Tribolium castaneum: one gene and its partners. The main gene of each other region encodes a partner of the protein of the gene in region 3 in a complex. Links are inferred from orthologs where the notes say so. Each region holds a gene or a part of one and is shown on either strand. Other genes may lie near its edges. The genes, in order: Nup75, Nup54, Nup107, Mgtor and PCID2.

Region 1 (4,382 bases), on a different chromosome or scaffold from region 3:
AAATGTGGCCTGATTCGCCCCAATGGTACCCCCTTATGTTAAAAGAGAAATTTTTTGCGGCCAGAGTGACTTACAGTGACCCTGACACAATCACTGATACGAAAATTGAGGAATTTGAGGACTTGGCGAGTGCACTTAAAGTGGCCAATTAAAAGTATTATTGTTTACGTAAAGTATTTATTTAATAAAAAATTGTTAAAAAAATCATCATTTTAATTGGGCTTCGTGTACCAAAGCTCGTGCTAAATTCCGGGTCGCTGACAGTCTCAAGATCGGAAGTTTGTCTTTCAAGTCTTTGGTTTTTTCCTGCTCTTCCAAACACTGCATAATGATGTAGGTATCAGTTGAGGAAAAAACCATTTTTTCGCACTCAAGTAGCGGTATTGCGTCAGTTAATAGAATACTCCAGAAACTACAAGATAATCTTTAGATAAAAAACCGCAATTTTAAGTGTTTTCCCCTTACAAGTTTGGTATTATTTTCGACTCAAGTAACGAAACGAGCAAATTGGCGGCTTCTTTGTACTCGTTCGCTTGATATAACTTCTGGAATTCGTAATATTTGCCTAAAAACATCAACCTATCGCTTGCCAAAATACACGATCCGAGATTATCCAAAAGATCAATACTGTTCAAATCGCCACTTTCGGCATACTCTCGCAGAAATTTGTTCGATAAAAACGACACAAAAGTGCCGTCTTGTGATTTGAGGGCCCAGGCGAGGGCGTGTCCCAGACGCCCCCGGTTTTTACAAGCCATTCCTTGCACTTTACAAATACTTTGTGCCGTTTCGGTTAAATTCCGGTTCAGAGCCTCTCTCACAATTTTCTCAGCCCGCATTTCGGAATTTAGAGGCAGTCTTGCAAGTAGTAATTTTGTGACTTCAGGGCCATCGCTGGGACAGTGGTCCAAGTAGCTTAAACCGACCTGCCATAGTGACTTATGGCCCATTAAAAGCGAGCCATAATCGATTAAAAATGACTCGCGCAATTTATCAGGGTGGCTGAAATAATAATTGTAAAATAAACGGTTTAAAAAAAATCGGGGACTCACAAATTTTCAATAGTTTCGATAGTTGTGTCGCTTAGACGGCCTGAATGGTAAAGTAGGTCGGTTAAGTGGCTCACAAACCAGCCACTGTCTGTCATATTTTGGATTTCTTTAATCACCTGGCAAAGAAATGTTAGAATTTATGTGTACATTTGCAAAAAAGTGTAAAACTAAAAGTATAGCCGAAAAATACAGGATTATTCAAAAGTCTCAGTTTTATTTAATAACTTAACAGAGGTGGCGCCATATTACCTGTAAAATATCAAACTCCATTGCTGCCAACAACATCCTATCCAAATGCTTAATTCTATTCCCTATGGACATTTTCGTGATACACTGTTTGGCAAACTGTCCCAACTCAAACGATTTAACAGTAGGTTGGGTAAAAAATAACCACGCGGCTAACATTTCATACCACGTCTCGCAATACTGCTGTATTTCCCCCCATGCAATTTCGTTACCAACCGTAAGCTACAAAAAATCTTATAAAGAAAACTACCAACTCAAACACACTTAAAACAAAACCTTCATAATCAAATTGAGATTATAACAAGAAATAAACATTTTCGCATCAATTTTCGATTGAACATCCACGACCCAATGATTCCATTGTAGATTAAATTCAGCGATTGAAGTCCCACTAAACATCTAAAGTCGGCCATGAACACCTGTCAATTTCTCCCAGCCTACTTACGTTATAAACCGGCATTGCTCTCAGACACTGATCCACAATTCTGAAAGGTTGTGACTCAGCTTCTGAGTGTAATTTAAGTAGGGCCCTAACGACCTTGACCCGCCCTTGTAATAGTGACCCAATGACAGTTTCCCAATAGTCAGGGTGTGACTCCAAACCACCCAAATCCCCAGCCAACATACTTGCCGCATTTCGGTCATATTTCGGAAAATGAAACCGAATCCAGTCCAGTAAGTGGGGCAAAACAATGTTGCCTAAAACCCCAACTGTTTGGCAAAAATCCCCAAATTTTGTGTCACTACAGAGGTCTATAACTTAGGAGGAAACGATGTACGAAATTACCGGATTTTCTGAACCTAAAAAAGTCCGGAATTTTTTTTAAATATAGTTAACGATAAAACTACCGAGTTCAGGACGTTTTATTTGTACGTCGTTTCGCATCCTAGCTTTTAGATATCCGTGTCACTAACCCACCTGGGACCGCATCAACAAATAAGATTTCACACAAGTGCCAAATACACTCAACTGAGTAAAAAATCGTAATGTAATTTTGCAATTCTTCGCGATAATCGCCATCGGCTCGCATCACCTCGTCTTGCAAATTCTCCAAACAGGCCCTTATTATGGACCTGTACTGCCGGCTAAGTTTCAATAATTCGGCCTTGTGGTCGCCCTCAGTGGCTACAAGGGCTTGAAGGGTTAGAAACGTCCCGTTGGCCTCATTTACCAATTTGCGTAAAATTGGTTTGAAGAGAATAATGTCGGGGCGCAGCTGAAACACAGAGGCGTCCGAGGGGGCAAAGTGACTCGGTTTATCAACTTTTGGTGTTTTCTGGTGGCCGAAAACACCGAATTCGTTGACGGAAAGCCACGAAGCCGCCACTCCAGCACGTCGGCATAACTCATTTGGAATAACCTACAAGTTATTATGACCTAACCTCAAAAATTGATCGCTGCTTACGAAAGTTTTGGCGGTATTGTCCATTAATACGGGTCGGGAAGCGTTAAATAACACGAAATTTTGCGCCTTTTCATTCAAAAAAACCGTATTTTTTTCGAATTTTGTTTGAGGAGAGCGGTTAGCCGGGTCGGTAATTTAGAAATCTGTTCGGTTACTAGGGTTACTTTCGTTTTGGGTTGGTAGCGAGAACGGTAACGGTAGGGATTTAACTTCGCCGTCAATCCTGTGGGCGGGTATTTTGAATTTGTTATATTGGGGTGATACTCACGTTGAGGCCTTCTCCTGGTGCGAGTGTGACGTTGAGCGCGATTCTGTCGGTTTCTTGCGTACGAAAAATCGCATAATGAAGTCTTTTTCTTTGAGCGTTTGAGTGTCAATGCTCCTAATTTCTGCCTCTCTGGCTTCCTGCATGCGGGCTTGATCTGCGAGGAGCTTGTCAATTAGATCCTTAATTTGGCCTCTGGAATGTTCAATTCTGGAGGTCCACTGTTTCATTAAACGGTAGTTTTCCCTTGCTTTGTTGCTCCGATCGTTTACTTTCACACTAGTCATGTCCCGGAGCATCGTATGGCGAACACTTTGACTTTCGAAATATCGCACAATGTAATTTGAAAGGGTGCTTAAGTAAAGCATCAAGTGGTTTATGTTCTCGTCAGTGCTTACTTTATTTTTTATCAAATAATTGACAATAAACCAGTCCACTAACTGCAAGTCGTATTTTGCCAAAACAAGTTAGAGAATTATCGGGACTTACCCGAAATTCAGTCACTGTGATTCCCTTAAGTGCGTGGCTAACTGCAATTTGTTTGATTAAATCGAGCGCTTGTTCGATGCGTCTCTGTTTGAGATAAGTTAAAACCATTTCATGAACGTGAAGTAACGAGACGAAATGAGTGATCATTCGTCTTTGGATAGTATATGTGTCTGTTTGCTGATTCGGGTTCCGGGCACTTGCAGCCCCAAACTTTTCTACCACTTTATCAGGCATTTTCAATGTCCTGCCAAAAAATAGAAAATAACCCGGCGCATCCACCATTTTTCAAATTCAAATAAGTGTTTAAATACGTTCTGGAGTAAGCTAGTGTTGTAAAAAAAACATATGATACGTAAAATGAGTCGCTGAATTCACTGGAATAAACCGTTTTGTTCTACGAATTTTAGTTTTTGAGTTATGAATTTTTTGAATAGGCAAAAAAATTAAATTAAATAAAACAGTACCCTGCGTGGATGTCGCTAACAATTTGCCCCAAATGCCTCTTCAGAAGCGACAGCACTAACTGTGAGGTTCTGATGGTCAAGGGGGCCAAATGATCAGCTGTGAAAGTCTGAGACTTGATGTACATACTCTGCAGTTCGCCGTAATGAATCAATTCACTGTCACACTTCGACACCGAAGGCTTTTCAGACAAATGAAACGAGGGGGAAGTACATATCGAAGGATAGGTGATTGATGGTGGAATAGTTTCGATACTCCCGGTATAAAAAATATGGGAATAAGTGCTTTGTTCGCTACCTCGTGGACGACTCAATTTTTTACCCATTTTAATTTGACGTAAAATAAAACAAAGTGTCACAAAAAACATTTATTAAGACTAGATTTTAACAAAAAAATACTACGATTTAAATATATCAACAACATTGATTTTTAATTTGGCCTTTTGCTCCTTCATTGACTCCT
Region 2 (4,231 bases), on a different chromosome or scaffold from region 3:
AAAATTGGTTGCTGTTTTCTTCAATAAATAATTACAGATTCCTGTTTGAAGTTGCCAGCTGATGGCATTAAACTCAGGGCCAACCTGTCTCAAATTCCCGCTGAGTACTTTAGGAAATTATCTTTTATTAGCAACACCTTTATTATCACATTGAGTTAAATTAATGATACAGTTACAACCAACAAATGAATCACGTAATTCCATAATAAATGAGTGACAGATTCTACATAGAGAGAAATTGACATATTGAGAGGCTCTGAAGCTCACACTTAAAATAACCTTGAAGACCTGTACAAATCATTAACTCCGTTCCGGACACGACGTCTGTGGCATCCTGCCTTTGGCCCCCACGCCGTCCGCCCCCAGGGCCGTGTGCACCACGATGCTGGGCTGGCCGGGGGAGGGGGGGTGCACCTCGTGCGACGCCCCCGGCGTGAGGGTGGCCAAAGCTGCAAGAAGGTCATGATTGATAATGGGCTCACCTTCCGGCCGGGGCTCCCAGTCGAGGGGGGGCGACGCCGGCGGCGAGATTAGGAACTGCTTGAAGGGGGCTGGCGGCTGCAGGCTGGGGTTTTTGACGGGGGTGACGGGTTGAGCAAAGTAACACGTAATCACTGAGTCGTTGATTTTGTATTGGTGGAGCTGAATGCGGGCGCTGGCGGCTGCCACGGGCGTCTGGAAGTTCACTCTCAGTCTTCGGAAACTGCGCAGCCACTGGAATGTCACGTCCGGGTCGAAGTTCCGGAACAGGTTCTCCATTTCGCGCTTTTTCTCTGCAATTTTACGGTCAGATCGGGTGAGGGCTGGGGGCGGATTACCGGGCGAGGTGAAGACACTGTCGTGGATGTTGGTGACGATGAGGGACGTCGGCAGGTCCTCGAACTCGTCGTCGGTCACATGCTCGGGGCTGTCGATGTCGGCCTCCGCCAGCAGGTTGGGGTGCACGTTGGGAAGGCCGTCTTGGTCGTTAATGATGATATCGTCGTCCATTTCGCCGTTGCTTTCAGCCATTGAAAAATTGGATTAAATTCACCGACACAGGATCTACCGCGGTTTAAACCCCATAAAACAATGCGCACTTTTTCGGCTAAACTAATCAAGGCTAACTCTTACGCTACTAAATTTTAACACAAAAACATTGCAATATCAAAGTGCAAAAAACACAACCCAACAATTGCAAATGCCAAATGTCAGGAATGAATGACACTTGACAAGGGGATGAAAGCCGAAAGTTCGCCAGCCCGAATTGAAATACAAAGGAATGAGCTTAAAAAAACGTAAAACCCTGAAATGGATAGATTTCCAGATAATTAACATAAACACATGAGCGACTTTTTGATTTCGTATTTTTTTGTACAGAAAACGCTGAAATTTTGTGAAATTGCCGGTGTATAACCTAGGTTTGAAGTTTGACAGTTCTGTCAATTCGTTAAGTTCAATTTGTGAATACATAAAAAATTGTAATTACTATTTTTATATAAATACTAACGTTAAATTTAATGCAGTTATGGCATTTTCGTTCGGAAATGCAAACCAGTCGACTTTTGGAAGCCCGGCAAATAAACGTAAGTTTTAGAACCGTAAGAAAGTTAGGTTAAGTTCTTTCTATTTTGTTATTTGGTATTCACGGTTTTATTTATTTTCCCTTTAAACCGTAATTAATGAGATTTAATTTTGCCCAAAACGCCTGACTAATGTTTGTGTTCTTAATTTTTAACCAGAAAAAATCGAAAAAGTGGCAGCGTTTTGTACCATTCAGACTCAACAATACAAATCACCACACTTTTTACAGATAAAATGTTAATTGGTGTTTTAAATGGTTATAAAATTTAATTGTGATGATTGTTAACGTGTGAGTAACAATTCAACAATTTTTGTTTGAAACAAATCGCTAAAAAATGTTTTGTTTAGTGTTTAACTTAAATTTTTTGTCACGTCTGTGCTGCACAGTACACAAAAGTAATTTCATTACTTAACTGATAAAACATGAAAAACTGGACGTGTTCAATAAAAAACCTAGATTATAATTTATAAACCAAGAATTTATTTCGGCAATAACATTTTGAGGATATAAATAAACCTACCTAAGCGAGTAACAAAAATATAATGATAGTAAAATATAACAGATTATCACAAATATAATTAATACGATTTCATTCTTCCGTTTGAGATGGTAACTTGGCTCAAATCGGTTGCACAATCAAGCGATCCTGAACGGCTGGCTTTATATCGCTTATAAACGACGATAAGAATGACGATAATTAAGAGCAGACTGACGATTATAACTCCCAAAACAACGTACAAAGTTTTTCCCTCAACGTCGTATCCTTCGTAATATATTTGGTTCGAAACATCCGTAGTTGAAGAAAATACGTCAAGTGGGGTTGAAGTTGTATTTTGTGTACTGTTTTTTATTTCGGCCACTGCTGAAGTGATGTTGTTTTCAAAAATACCGATTGTTTCGGTCGTACTGTCGGTCACTTCGGTTATCACGGTGGTAATCGTTGTTGTAATATTTTGAGAAATCTCAGGAGTGGTAGCAGTTTCTGCAGTAACCGTACTGTTGGTTATTTCGCTGATGAGGGTAGTAGCTGGGGGAGTGAAACTCTGCCCAATTTTGAGTACGTTTTGATCGTCTGTGACTTGAAGGGTCGTTCCAAAACTTTTAGTAGCCCCTTTGATAGGAAATGAGAATAGCTAGAATCGGAATTTTTAAATCCAACTTGAAAAATAAAAATTAAACTCACCGTAGGGCCCGACATTGTGCTTTTTATTAGCGAAGGAAAAACACTTAACTCTGCAAGAACTTATCGGCGACTGAAAGTTTCTTTCCACGCTTTGAATTTTTATCGCTGGTGTTTATATGTGCGAACACGGTTTTCCTGCTTTCCTTCCATTCGCAGTAAAATAACAACCCGGGGATGAGTCACAAAATGCTGTTTAATGCAATTTCTTGTGGTTGGGATAAATAAAATCCGTCATTTTGTGATAACAAATTGGGAAAGCGGCACTGCAGTCGAAAAAAACTTGTTTTGAAATTATCTACGTGTTTAAATTCTTTTTAAAAAATTTGACTGGAATGACACTTGAAGGATTGAAATAATTTCATTTATTTCGTGTTTATTTCGTTTTTGCATAAATTTAAGTCTTAACAACAGCGTATTTTTTGCACGATAAGTATTCGCATAGTTCAAGTTTGACTTGCATTTTTTACCGAGGAGTAGTTTCCGTTTGGTCATTTCCCCGTAACAAATACTTTTTTCATGGAAATTCTTTTCTTTTCGTTGAAACAACCCAAATAGAAAAATAAATAATTTCAGGATTGTGGTTTCGTAGCCATTTCCTTTGGAAAACTACAAATTTCGCTGAATTTATTCAATTTATTCGATTTTTCCTGAATTAAAACGCACACTTCTTATCGTCTTAGATTATTTATTAATTTTTGTAAACACCTAGTCATAGTTTTATGTTTTTCCAATGTTTATCCACAGCCACCGCATTCGGTACCCCATTTGGGGTAACCACCACCACGGCTAGTACCGGCTTCGGCAGTTTCGGCTCTTCCTTCGGAGCCACTTCGCAGCCGTCGACCGGTTTCGGCTCAACTTTCGGAGCCCCAGCTCAATCTTCAGGTTTCGGTAGTACTTTCGGTACTCCTGCAACTTCCACTCCAGCATTTGGTTCGACTTTCGGAGCCCCAGCATCAACCTCAGCCCCGACATTCGGTACCGGCTTCGGTCAATCGACCGGCGGCGGCCTTTTCGGTACTTCCACAACCAAACCAACCCTTTTCGGAACTCCCACCACTTCAACCTCGTTATTTTCGACCCCTAGTTCGGCCCCCAGTTTATTCGGGAGCGGTACCACCACACAAGCCCCAAGTCTTTTCGGGGGGGTCACCACCTCGACTCCTAGTTTATTCGGAGCTGGCAGTACCCCAGCTCCGAGTTTGTTCGGTACTGCGACAACTTCGGCCCCGAGTTTATTCGGGACTTCGTTCGGGGGCACGGCCACCACTTCGGGGGGGCTGTTTGGGGGGAGTACAACAGGGGGAGGGTTTGGTTTATTCGGGGGTACTACTACGACGAGTGCGCCGTCGTTGTTTGGGGGGTTTGGGGCTACGCAAACAACAGGGGGGTTTGGGGGTTTTGGGACTAGTGGAGGGTTCGGTCAACAGACACAAGGGAGTTTGTTTGGGGGCGGGTTTGGGGCCAAGCCGGCACAACCTCCA
Region 3 (4,120 bases):
TTTTTGCTGAATGCGATGTCGTCAATTTCCACCGTTCCGCTTCGGCATTAAACTGCGAGACTTTATGATTATGAGCAACTTTTTCAGTAAATTGTGCATTTTCGGGCAGTTCAGGTGGTGGCATCGGCTTATTCCTATACTGTCTAAACCACTCGTTAAACGCCTCATGTGCATCCAAATACGCTTTATAACTCAAATAATTCTTAACAATCTGATGAATCTGCTCTTCGCTGCGTATCTTCTCTATAGAATCGTAAGGAATTTTATTGATTGCCAATTGGGCTGCTTCTAATTTGCCCAAAATCAGAAATTTGAAAATAATAGAATTGGTTTGAGCCAATGCTTCGGCTCGTTGCTCCTCGTAAAACATCAGCCAATCAATAGCGGAGATTTTGAGTTCGTCGATTTCGGTGATTTTACCTTGGAGATTACCGGGAAGTTCGGATTCAGACGGTCGGCTTGTTATAATTTCGACGATTTGTTGCGTTATAGCAAATACGTCCAAACTGAAATCTTCAGCGTAAGTAAGGGCGTTTTTGCGTTGCTCAGTCGAAAGCAGTTTTTCGCAGTGTTTGGCGTAAAGTTGGATTTGTTTGGATTTTCCCAGCTTGCTCACGTAGAAGGCCACAAGCTGGGTTTCGTTCATTTCGCTCAAACGCTCGATATATCTAATTAAACAAATGATATTAAAACACAAGCAACGCAGCGGTGAGTAGCAAACACTTTATGTTTTTTTATAGAAGCTCGAAGTCAAATAAAACAAAAAATAATACCGTAGCTATAAAAAAGTGGTAAAAATATTAAAAGCAATAATTTAGTTCTGACGAGATTATGGTCAACATTAAGAACATAAAATACACTAGACACAAATTTTTTTATAGTCACCATACCGGGAGACTAAAGCGCCCGGCCTTAAGTCGAGTTATACAACCAAGAAAACTTACGTTTCGACGATTTTTTCACACGTTTTTCTATGAGTGGAGTCTCCGACGCTTTCAAAAAACAAAACTAAGTGAGCATAAAATCGAAGAGATTGTGTCGTAACACTTAGATCTTCACTCCACTGATCTAGGAGGCGTATCAGTGTGGGAATTTCGTCTAAAATGACAAGTTTCTGAATTACATGATCAATTTCATGCGCTTCTTTTGCAATGTCAATATTTTTCGAGGCTTCCAAAATTGTAAAAATTTCACTTAATGATTTCTTTTGTTCCCAATATTCTTCAGGTAGTGGTATGTAGTTTTTAATGATTGAGTCGCGAATTTCCGATTCAACACGAATATCGACCATGGTTCGCATGTAGGCCCACAGGTGGTCCTCCCATGTGGTACAAACGGGCAAAATGCCCTCCAAGAAACCACAAAGACTACCAATGGCGGCTTTTTCATAAATGTTCAAGTTTGACTGAAATTTTTTAGTAGTTTTTTCAAATTTATAAAACAGCCTCCTTGATAGATACGAAACTTCGTCTTCAGTCCTAAATTTGGTTAATTATTTTCCAGAAATTTTAAATAAATAAACATAAAATAAATACATGTTTTACAACTGCCAAAGTGACATCGGTTTATCTAGTAACAATGGTATCAAAAAAAAAGATAGCGAAGTTCCCGAACTGTCAAAGAGGCTGTGGAACGAAAAACTTACCCTATGACAATAATCTAATGCGCAAGATTTCCACAAATCCCGCCTTTGGTTCCCTTCTACGTCTTTATACTCTTCAAGACTTGTTTCCAGGTTGGGATTATGAAAAAGCTTCCAGCCTTCTAACATCGCAGCGCGCCATGGATAACCACTGTTGTAACATAACTGAAATTTAATTATTGAATAAATAATAAAAGGCTGAAAACAGCACAAACTTCCTGGGCGCCCTCAAGGTTGCCGCACCTAATTTCCATAAAAATTCTCTGACATAGTTTTTTGTCATTGTCGTAATCCAAGTGGTGCAGCGATAAGCGCTGAAACTGTGGCGCATCTGGATGTATGTTCTTGATAATATCCACATTACTCCCAATTGCAATAGCATCAGGTGCTAGCAATTGATGCAAAGTGTGTTCCCATCCATACGTCCAGTCTGAGTGCATTAAAATGGGGTCCCCCTTCTCCAGAGCGTTCCTCTCGAGCCAATCGATCACCAACTGGCTTTCCCTAACCAAATTCTCTCGTTTGAACAGTTCGCACACACAGTTCTTTTCACTGCTCCCGAAATCCTCCTCAAACCCTTCCTTACTGTGGTTCTGGGCCTGGATCCGATCCTGGTACAGGACATACAGCAGTCTCCAATTATTCCGCTCATTTTCGAGCCATTTCTCTTCGGCTAATTCACTAGTGGCCACTTTGGCTTTCAGTGACTTAACCACCGCCAAAGCGTCACTACAACACCTCGCCAAGTCTTCGGCCACGTCCAGGATATCAAGGCCTCCGGTGGACCCCTGCAGGATATCCGCAAACTCTGTATATAAATTATTAACAGTGTTTTTCCATGGAGTTCCTGCTTGGATCACCGACCCGGTGACCGTTTTGTCATCATCGACAAATAAAGACAAGGTGTTTTGATAAACACTTCCATATTCCAGGCCGGTTAAGTCTTCGGGGTTTATTGTAAAGCTGAGGTTAGGTTTTTCACGCTTTGGAGTTGCGGTCGAGACCTTAAATAGCCCTTTTGTGGGGGTCTGGAGAGCGTCTTCGAGAAGACGCACCGACCGTTCCAAATCATTATCCATTTTTAATAAAAAACACACACAAAAAGCCGTTGCATAACCTCAAAAAACAAGTCTAGCGTTGCCTCAGAGCGTTGCAAAGTCCCTAGATTCAGGTTGGTAACAGTTTTTCTTTTCCTCGATCGTCATTTGTTTCAAATTATCGCGTCTGTTTGTGTTTATCGTGTTTTTTGTTCAAATTGAAGGAAAATTGGTGAAAAAAGTGTTGAATTACGTAACTTAATTAAGTTCAATTTATAAATTGTGGTAGGAAACACCGGTTTTTTTCAAAAATTTGTAAATCATGTGTGAATACTGAATTTGGAAAAATGATGTTACTTAGTGTTAAGTGTAATTTTTACATAATTTGGTGATTCCAGTGACAAAGTAAGGTAAGGTGCATGTTTTTTTAACAAAATTTAACATTATAGCACATTATTGGTACTATTTTCGGAAATTCAGTGAATTTGGTTGGCAACACTTTTTCCATTATCGCGTCTCTCGTGTGTGCCCGGATCTTTTTTGTCTACATTTATGAAAAATTTGTGAAAAAGTTACCTTAATTACGTTTTTTTTATAAATTGTGGAAAAAAAACACCAGTTTTTCCCCGGATATTCCTAAATTCAGTTACTGTGACAATCAGGATTTGGAAGAATGAAGTGTTAAGTGTTAGTTTAGAAGTTCAGTGTTAATTTGGAAGTTTCAAGCACAAAGTAAGGTAACTTGCATGTTTTTCAACAAAATATTAGATTATTGCACATTATTGTGGGCATTATTTTTGGAAATTGGTGAAAAAGCAAGTTTTCTTGAAAACTTGTAAAAAACATCACTTTCCAAATATTTGTCAATTCATTTGTGGTTAGGAAAAGTACATTTTAAGCACAAAGTGAGGTAAATTGTACGCTTTTCAACAAAAATTAGATTACTGCACATTAGTGGTATGTATTTGTATTTTCGGAAATTCATTGACTTAAGATTCTGGAAATATTGGGCGACTTTTCAGTACTTGGAGCGTTTTTTTTTGTCAATAACTTCGGTTGTAGGCATTTAAAGGAGGCAAAAATCCACAAAATTTTTTTTATTTATATTATATTTTCGTTGGTAGCTTAAACTCTTTGAACAAACACTACGCTTATTATTAATTAAATATTATTGTACTAAAATGTTGTAATAAATACTCGTTGTTAGCACTAGTCTAAGCTTACAAAAGAAAATAAATATTTCAACACGTACGCGTATCAAGTTGTACAATCTTATTCAATAATAACAATGTAATAAGGTATAAAAATAGTTAAGTAGTCTTTGCATAATTCAACAATCGAACACTTGTATCTTATCAGCTAGAGATCACAGATGTTGCCAAATAAAAGGCACTAAAAACACGAGTCCGTGTCCATTTCTCACATCCATCTCTAGGAAGAA
Region 4 (3,582 bases), on a different chromosome or scaffold from region 3:
CTAAATTACCAGAAACTAATAAAACACTTCAAAACTGTTTTAATAGTTCTAGTACGTCAGTTATCAATAGTAATCTATGTTATTGCCTAAAAGGCAATGTGTGTAAATTTTAGAACCCAAAGAATTACTTCAATTTAAATGATTAGCCTCTCCTACTTTAAATCCAAAATCCAATGTCGGAAAATACATTAAATATAAACTGAATCGTGTATTTTGAAAGAAAGTTTACATTACTAAAATTATTTTAAAAATGTCGGTATCAGGTTGCATTATTTCTGGAGTGGCTGATTTATTAAATGATATTGTTGAACATAAAAGCAGTAGTTAACTAAACACACGTCCACTGAGCTGATTTTTCAACTCAACGTAACTCTTTTAACTGTATATATAATTTCAAAAACTTTTTCATAAATTTGAATTCTTTCAAGGGACTGTTTTAAATTTATTGGATTGTAGTTTATCCAATTTTCAACGTTACCACTATAATGTGTGATGTGTCATGTAGATGGTTGCTCAGGATAAAAAAGATTTTTTTTTATTGAAATTACGGATATCAATCCTAAGGTTGAAATCATAAGTTGGTGTTTTTTTCTTTTTGTAGCAAAAAATTTCTTTTAATAAACCTGACTCAAAGTTAGCATATTTAAAGCAAATTTACTCTCTTAATACCCAACAGAATTTCAAGCATTATACAAGAAATTAAAGGTTTTTTAATACTACAAGCCCATGCGTTCCCATATTTTGAAAAAACGTAAACATCTTAAAAAAAGAAAAATGCATAAATGTTGACCTTAAAAAACTATTCAGTTATTTTTAAAGTAATCGGTTTTGGTTTTTGCAGGATAATTCAAAAGCATAGTTGATATGCGTTGAAAGAAATTTGCTTTATCAGAGATATTGAAGAAAAAGTCGCGTTTTTATCAGTAAATTTAACAATTCCGTTTTAGAATTTTGGTAATTGCTTTAAAAAAATGCGTAAATTTTGATCTTGAAAGGAACTTTACTCAGTTTTTTTTTAAAGTAAGCAGTCTAGGTTTTTGCAAGATAATTCAAAAGCATATTTATATGCGTTGAAAATTTTTTAATTTGTTATTGAAGTACTGTAATTGATGTAGAAGTCGCATTATTTATCAGTAAACTTAAAAATTCGTTTTGGGTTTTTGATATTTATTACAAAATATTAATTTTCAACTAATTTAACAAAACACTGTTGTTTTTAACTTAAAATCTCCCAAAGTTCATTGCGTTGCTCGTGTCGTTTCTGGGGAGAGTCTTTTGATCGCCATCTGTCTTTTTTTTCGGTTATTTTAGAAAACAAGTGGTAAAAACATTTAAGCGAGAAAAACATTTTTTTAGTTCGGAGATTTTTTTAATTTGTTCACCTAACCAATATTTTAAAATAACTGCTTTGTAGATATTTTGACCCTAGAAGTTTCGTTGAAAAATTAGGATTATATTTTGTCCATATTTAGATATTATTATTATTATTACTTAATTTTTTTAGAACATCCAACTTCTTCTGGAGTTTTATTTCTTGGTGTCGCTGGGTATTTGATTTTCACAAATCTTAAAATCCGATCTGGCCAATTTGACTTTATTATAGTTACTTTAATCTTGTGTTTATTAACATTTTTAAAAAAAAGTTACGTAAAATGAATTTTTCACAAAATTTGTAAACTTAAAAAAATGTTTTACTGGGATGAAGAGTATTTTATCGGTCACCAAATAAATAAATTTGGCATGTTAATGTTTATTAACATTAAGCAGAACCGGTGCAGTTAGGCCCAAAATATTTAATTTTTTTAAACGTACCGTCAGTGCCACTACTTGTAGCTTCGGGCTGCGCTGGTTCAACGCTTTCCTCTTGAGACGCTTCCTCCTGCAATGATCTTTCGCTCTGATTCGGCACCTCGCTCGAATCTTCAATAACCTCCACTTCATTCCCGCCTTCTTCATCTTCAACGTCTTGACAATCGGCGTCTTCGTAGTTATCTTGTTCCTTAAAGTTTAAGGACAAGGTAAAATCACTGCTCTCTTCACCCGCCTCATCACATACCATTACTTCCAAATCATAGCCTTCCGTATCAGGATCGTCCGGCTCATCGTCTGCACCTTCACCTTCATCAGCACCACCTTCTTCGTCACTTTCAACAACTATCACGTTATCGTCGTCATGATCTCGCTGACTGCTTGTTGGAACTTGATATTCTACCTCTAGACCGCTATCGCTTACAGTTCCAGCTTGTTGAACTCTAGTTCTTTTACTTTGTTGTTGGGTTTTTGTTTGTTCGTCACCAGTATCAGTGTCTGGATCTCTTTGGCGTTTTAGGCCGGCTTGGGTTGTTGTGACTGTGTTTGAACTGCTACTGCTGCTGGTTCCTTGTTCTTGGGTAGGTCCACTACTTGGGGGTTCTACCCTTGGCAGGACTAAAGCAACAGCTTGTTGTTGGGGCGCAGACTGCAACTAAACAATTACCAACATGTAAATAGGACATAATTTAAACTAATTTCAACAAGAGAACTGCAAAAATTCAAATACTCACATACAATTTTTCAAAAAAAAGATTAATTTTAAGTCGCCTTTTCTGGTCTGTTCTTACGTAAAACATTAAAAAAAACAAAAAACAGAAATGCTAGGGAATGCAGTTAGAGTCGATTTATTAGTTTCGATGAAACAACTAATAAATAATAAATAATACATAACATCTTCGAATCTGTATTTGATAATTCGAACAGTGAACATAGTTCTCTGTAAAATAGCTCCATATATCTACATGGAGGGGCAGTAAAGATGACAAAATCAATTTCAATCTGCTGTTTTTAATTCACCGTTAAATCTAATAGTTTTTAAAATCTTTCGCTACATCAGTTGTAAACCAAAAACTGTACAGCGTGCAAACAAATTTAAACTGTGACGTTATCACAGCTAAAGTAACTCTTTACGTCAGTCATATTTTTTAAAACATTCTTAGTGCTTTCTTTCTTCCTTTGTTTTTTTTTTCTGACCAAATAGGACTTCTTTTAGCAACAAACTTTTACACTTTATAAGTGTCTGTAAAGTAAAATTTTTCTGTTTCACAAAAAAAAAAATTAAAAACATCGTATTTCTTTTCTTTAATTTTGTTAAATATGTAATAACTGTTTAAAAAAAACTGAAATTATTTGAGATAATTTACATGATTTTTCAGGTTCAACTCAGAAACATATTTAAAATCTTGCAACAAGAAGGGAAAATTCCTTTTTCAACCAAATTTTGTAATTTTTCAGATTATTTTTGACGAAATCTCACTCAAAAATAAATAAAATCATTTCAAAATAAATAAGTTTCATATTCAAAAACGTCTAATGTGACTGACAAAAAAATTAATATTAAATTCGATCAATTTTGGCGCTTTTTCAGCATGCTTTAGTGAAATTCCTCGAGAGAAAAACTTAGTATGTTAACCAATCAAAAAAAGCAAAAATACTGTATCTTTCGACTTAATTTGGTGAATTTAAAATTGAAACTCGACAACAGATTATTATTTTGTTGTAGTTTTTCGGCTTAATTTGATCAAATTTCGCACATAAACGAGATAGTTC
Region 5 (3,586 bases), on a different chromosome or scaffold from region 3:
TAACAACTATATAATAGTGACATTTTGTTTGGAAATAATTTATAATAAAAAACTAAATAGTTTTTGACTATGATAAAATTTCCATATAAAATGTATGAGTTTAATTTTCGGGTAACAAAGTTACCTATGGGAAAATAAATCCTTTTGTGCAAAATTTCGCAATATGTAATATAATATTTACAGTACATTTAAAGGATGTATTCGGTATTAACTTCGTATCTATTATGTAAAGCTTAAACGAATATTTTTTACCTATATGGGCATAATCATTAGGTGATTTAATATGCATTATTGATTTTCAAAACGATTCGTATCGAGATTAAATCTGAGCAATTTAAAAAAAAACAACTGTAGTTGTGACCTCTTCGAATAACAAAAGCAATTTTTAATAAAATAAAAATTCCATAAACATTTTTAATGCGGTTTTTATTATGCATACAACATTTAGCTTTTTTCTTATGACAGCAGGGTCGCTTAGTCACTTCGCAGTATAGAGATTTATAGACGTTACGTTTATGCTTTAATAAAACACAAAAAACGGGTAGTTTTAACAGTTTATTTCATATGCAATTACAAAATAGTTACAATGCAGGTAGAGAACGACGAATTATACAAACTTATAAAAACTTAATTATGATAGACTTGTAAGTGGCGGAAATGGATTCTGTTTACTAACAACAACCTTCCTATGTTGATGCGAAATGTATCCTTTAATTTTCCCTTCATAAATAAGATTAGCAACAATACATTCTGTTTCATCCAAATCAACATCAGTCTGTCCTAAATACACTAAAGCAGTCTGCAGTGCTTCAATAGGGATTTGATGCGTATTTAGAATCAAATACACCTTTTTAAACAAATTTCTATATGCTATGATTTTCAGTTTATCAACAATCAGATATATTCCACACTTGATGAAAAAGGTTTCGTGCTTTTCCATAATCTCGTCAAACGCTTTGAGATTACCCTGACATACAGCTTGTACTAAATCCCACAACTGGATGACGTCATACTTCTCCAGAACCTCCTTGCTTGGGATATACCCCAACAACATTTTCACAGGAACTAAGTAAATCAATATAAGCGTTTTGTTCTTCTTACTGAGCTTGTGACAATTTTCAAAAGCATAAGTTAAATACTCATCGGCGACTTTATAATCGCTATCAAACATAGCCTTGCGCCCCACAAAATACCGATATGTGATTTGTTGGCTCAGAGAAAAACTCTCTTTAAACGGTGATGACTCAATCGCTCTGATTAAGGGCTTGCACAAATGTAGCTTATTTATCCGAAAATAAACCTTAAACAATTGATTCACCAAAGCCAACATCCCTATCCTCTTTGTATCCTCCTCTGCTGACCTATTATCAGCAGCACACACCCTGAAACAACCCATCAAGCATTCTGCTGCCTTCTCGAGCATTTCGCCGGGCTTCTCATTAATTCCGCTCCTCTGATTCTCGGCTAATTGCGCCAAAAGACGCAAGTCTAAGCACAAGACATACATAATAGGCAAAGACCAATTCTCCTCCTTTTGCGATTGCAAGATCTTAGTGAAAGTTTGCGTCAAATTGCTCTGAATGTTATAAGCCGATAGATAGTCACTCTGGCTTATGGCAAACAGGCATTTTAGGTGCAAAATCACTAATTCGTCGATAGGGGCGGTCAAAAAACGCTCAACTATTCCCTCAGGACTCTCAATGTGGTAATTGGCATAACCTGCATGTTCGTGGCGAAGAGACAGAAAACTGGCCACTTTTGCACCGTCCTGAGACCGCCAATACCTTTCCACAAGTTGTAGGTAATGAGCAACGGACATAAAAGTCATTTTGCTGAAAAACTAAGGTTAGGGGCGTCAGTTAACCGAAACCGCTTCATTTATAAATGAAATTGAACTGTTACTCACGTGATTTAGGCACAAGTGTTATATTTGTTGCTTCCGTTACGCAAAGAACATTATGTCTTACGAGTTTGACGAAAAAATGTTTGAATAAGCTTGAAAATAAACAAGTCTTTGCAATGGTGATAAAATGGCCGATAGGGAGCGGTGCGATTCATACAAGTAAAATCAATAATAATTTCTGTGACCTAACAAAATTTAAGATATTTGAGCTTAATTCGTGTTATATGTCCCATAGTACTAATAATAGGGATTAAATTAATGCAAATCCTGGAAGTAAAATGCCATAAAAACGAAAACTGTTCGTAGACCAGTTCGCAAGCCGCATGTTTTCTTCCCACACAGAGATGGCGCTCCGAGGAACAGCTTGATGCAACTTGACCGGGAACTTATCCAACTTGATTTTATTAAAAAATTTTTAGGAAATTATAAACACAGTCGTGAAAACGTTTTATTATTCTAGTCAAGGATAAATCATAATTTAAAAATCCATTACACAGGAAAGTAATAACTTCAACAATAATGAATTTAAAGCGCCTAGTAATGGAATTTATGGAAAGAAATTATTTACTTCTTTGCTATTTTAAACTTTAATAATGCTTCACGTGCCAGACCCATAAATCAGTATAATAAGCAATTTAAACGTTAATTGTAGTTTACTTTTAGCTCCTTATGAAACAAAAAAATTAAGTACTGTTTATTAGAAACTAAAGCTACACATTACGAACTTAAAAGTATTTGTTTGTATAGTGCTACTTAAAAAACAAAACCATATTTTACAAAAAAAAACTTATAAGTATAAGTAGGTAGACGACGTTTAAATTACAAACAAGTTATGTTTTAAATGATGACCGTACAAAAGCATATAAAAGGTTTTTATGTTCATCTATAAAATTTAAAAACAAATTTTACAGGGTGTCCCAGCAAAAGTATATTTTTACTGCATGACAAGCTAAATAATTACACAGAATTCCAAATTTGCTTTAAATACTTTTAGTATGCCTTATTATGTACCATAAAAAGTTATTTTTTCTATATCTACATTTTATAATTTTAAAATAAAACAATATAAAAAAGCAATATTCTATATCTTGAATGTCTGTGTGATTAATGATTATGATAGTTTGAGAAATGCAACGTAATTATTAACAACTTAAAAAAGAATCAAAAATAAAGAACTATTTAACAGAATTGACACGTTTACTGAAATATGATTCTGATGTAATTTTTTTAGCTGAATTTAAATCCGAAAGTTTTTTTTTTGATTTGGAATAGCCTTCACTGTAAAAAAGACGTTTATGTAAAAAAATTCAAAAATTAATATAAAGCAAATTTGTGTTCACATCTTCATTTCCTCATATTTTTCTTCTGAGTAAAGCTAGAAACTTGAAAATATTTTTAGGCGAACAGAGGGCTCACATCCATATCTAAATTCTGTAAATATTTTATGTAAATATTTTTCCATTTAATGTTCAATAGTAGTGCACTTAATCAACTCGTATTGCATTAAGTTGGTTTGGACTAGTTGATTTCGTTCCGTTTATAAACTATGAAAAATCGAGCCTTCTTTAGATGATTCAGAGCACAATAAAAATCAATTTGTTGAAGTCTGATAAGAATTTGCACTAGACATGCAGTCTGGAGCAGTCCAACACGATAGAAATTTAAACAAACTGGGTCAATCAG

The links.
Region 1: Nup107 (region 3) and Nup75 share a complex: the UniProt entries of both Drosophila melanogaster proteins name them as parts of the nuclear pore complex. The link is inferred for Tribolium castaneum from reciprocal best matches to the Drosophila melanogaster genes Nup107 and Nup75.
Region 2: Nup107 (region 3) and Nup54 share a complex: the UniProt entries of both Drosophila melanogaster proteins name them as parts of the nuclear pore complex. The link is inferred for Tribolium castaneum from reciprocal best matches to the Drosophila melanogaster genes Nup107 and Nup54.
Region 4: Nup107 (region 3) and Mgtor share a complex: the UniProt entries of both Drosophila melanogaster proteins name them as parts of the nuclear pore complex. The link is inferred for Tribolium castaneum from reciprocal best matches to the Drosophila melanogaster genes Nup107 and Mgtor.
Region 5: Nup107 (region 3) and PCID2 share a complex: the UniProt entries of both Drosophila melanogaster proteins name them as parts of the nuclear pore complex. The link is inferred for Tribolium castaneum from reciprocal best matches to the Drosophila melanogaster genes Nup107 and PCID2.

Annotation. Positions count from the first base shown.
Region 1 is NC_087399.1:876,535-880,916, reverse strand, and holds Nup75 (nuclear pore complex protein Nup85), read right to left. Parts: upstream 2,838-4,382; 5' UTR 2,729-2,837; coding exon 2,705-2,728; exon of another isoform or gene 2,660-2,704; coding exon 2,218-2,659; exon of another isoform or gene 1,998-2,217; coding exon 1,744-1,997; exon of another isoform or gene 1,698-1,743; coding exon 1,575-1,697; exon of another isoform or gene 1,521-1,574; coding exon 1,302-1,520; exon of another isoform or gene 1,169-1,301; coding exon 1,053-1,168; exon of another isoform or gene 1,003-1,052; coding exon 466-1,002; exon of another isoform or gene 413-465; coding exon 208-412; 3' UTR 158-207; downstream 1-157. Other genes in the region: oxidized purine nucleoside triphosphate hydrolase, read left to right, coding at 1-152; uncharacterized protein LOC660898, read right to left, coding at 2,840-2,927, 2,973-3,409, 3,459-3,702, 3,923-4,287; mRpS23 (small ribosomal subunit protein mS23), read right to left, coding at 4,318-4,382. UniProt on the Drosophila melanogaster protein: Component of the nuclear pore complex (NPC) that seems to be required for NPC assembly and maintenance. Required for nuclear import of phosphorylated Mad via importin msk.
Region 2 is NC_087397.1:2,066,901-2,071,131, reverse strand, and holds the start of Nup54 (probable nucleoporin Nup54), read left to right. Parts: upstream 1-1,407; 5' UTR 1,408-1,507; coding exon 1,508-1,565; intron 1,566-2,021; exon of another isoform or gene 2,022-2,697; intron 2,698-2,747; exon of another isoform or gene 2,748-3,491; coding exon 3,492-4,231. Other genes in the region: sra (protein sarah), read right to left, coding at 301-773, 819-1,011. UniProt on the Drosophila melanogaster protein: Component of the nuclear pore complex (NPC), a complex required for the trafficking across the nuclear envelope. Essential for the nuclear import of nuclear localization signal (NLS)-containing proteins in an importin alpha/importin beta-dependent manner.
Region 3 is NC_087395.1:26,509,993-26,514,112, reverse strand, and holds the start of Nup107 (nuclear pore complex protein Nup107), read right to left. Parts: upstream 2,812-4,120; 5' UTR 2,722-2,811; coding exon 1,858-2,721; intron 1,808-1,857; coding exon 1,646-1,807; intron 1,406-1,645; coding exon 945-1,405; intron 669-944; coding exon 1-668. UniProt on the Drosophila melanogaster protein: Plays a role in nuclear pore complex (NPC) assembly and maintenance. Required for nuclear import of Mad. Mediates the association between the nuclear pore complex and a subset of active chromatin regions adjacent to lamin-associated domains.
Region 4 is NC_087394.1:8,232,479-8,236,060, reverse strand, and holds part of Mgtor (nucleoprotein TPR), read right to left. Parts: intron 2,465-3,582; coding exon 2,057-2,464; intron 2,000-2,056; coding exon 1,813-1,999; intron 1-1,812. UniProt on the Drosophila melanogaster protein: Component of the nuclear pore complex (NPC), a complex required for the trafficking across the nuclear envelope. Functions as a scaffolding element in the nuclear phase of the NPC.
Region 5 is NC_087397.1:8,459,946-8,463,531, forward strand, and holds PCID2 (PCI domain-containing protein 2), read right to left. Parts: upstream 2,062-3,586; 5' UTR 1,907-2,061; intron 1,841-1,906; 5' UTR 1,829-1,840; coding exon 632-1,828; 3' UTR 543-631; downstream 1-542. UniProt on the Drosophila melanogaster protein: Required for the export of nuclear mRNAs and involved in mRNA trafficking in the cytoplasm.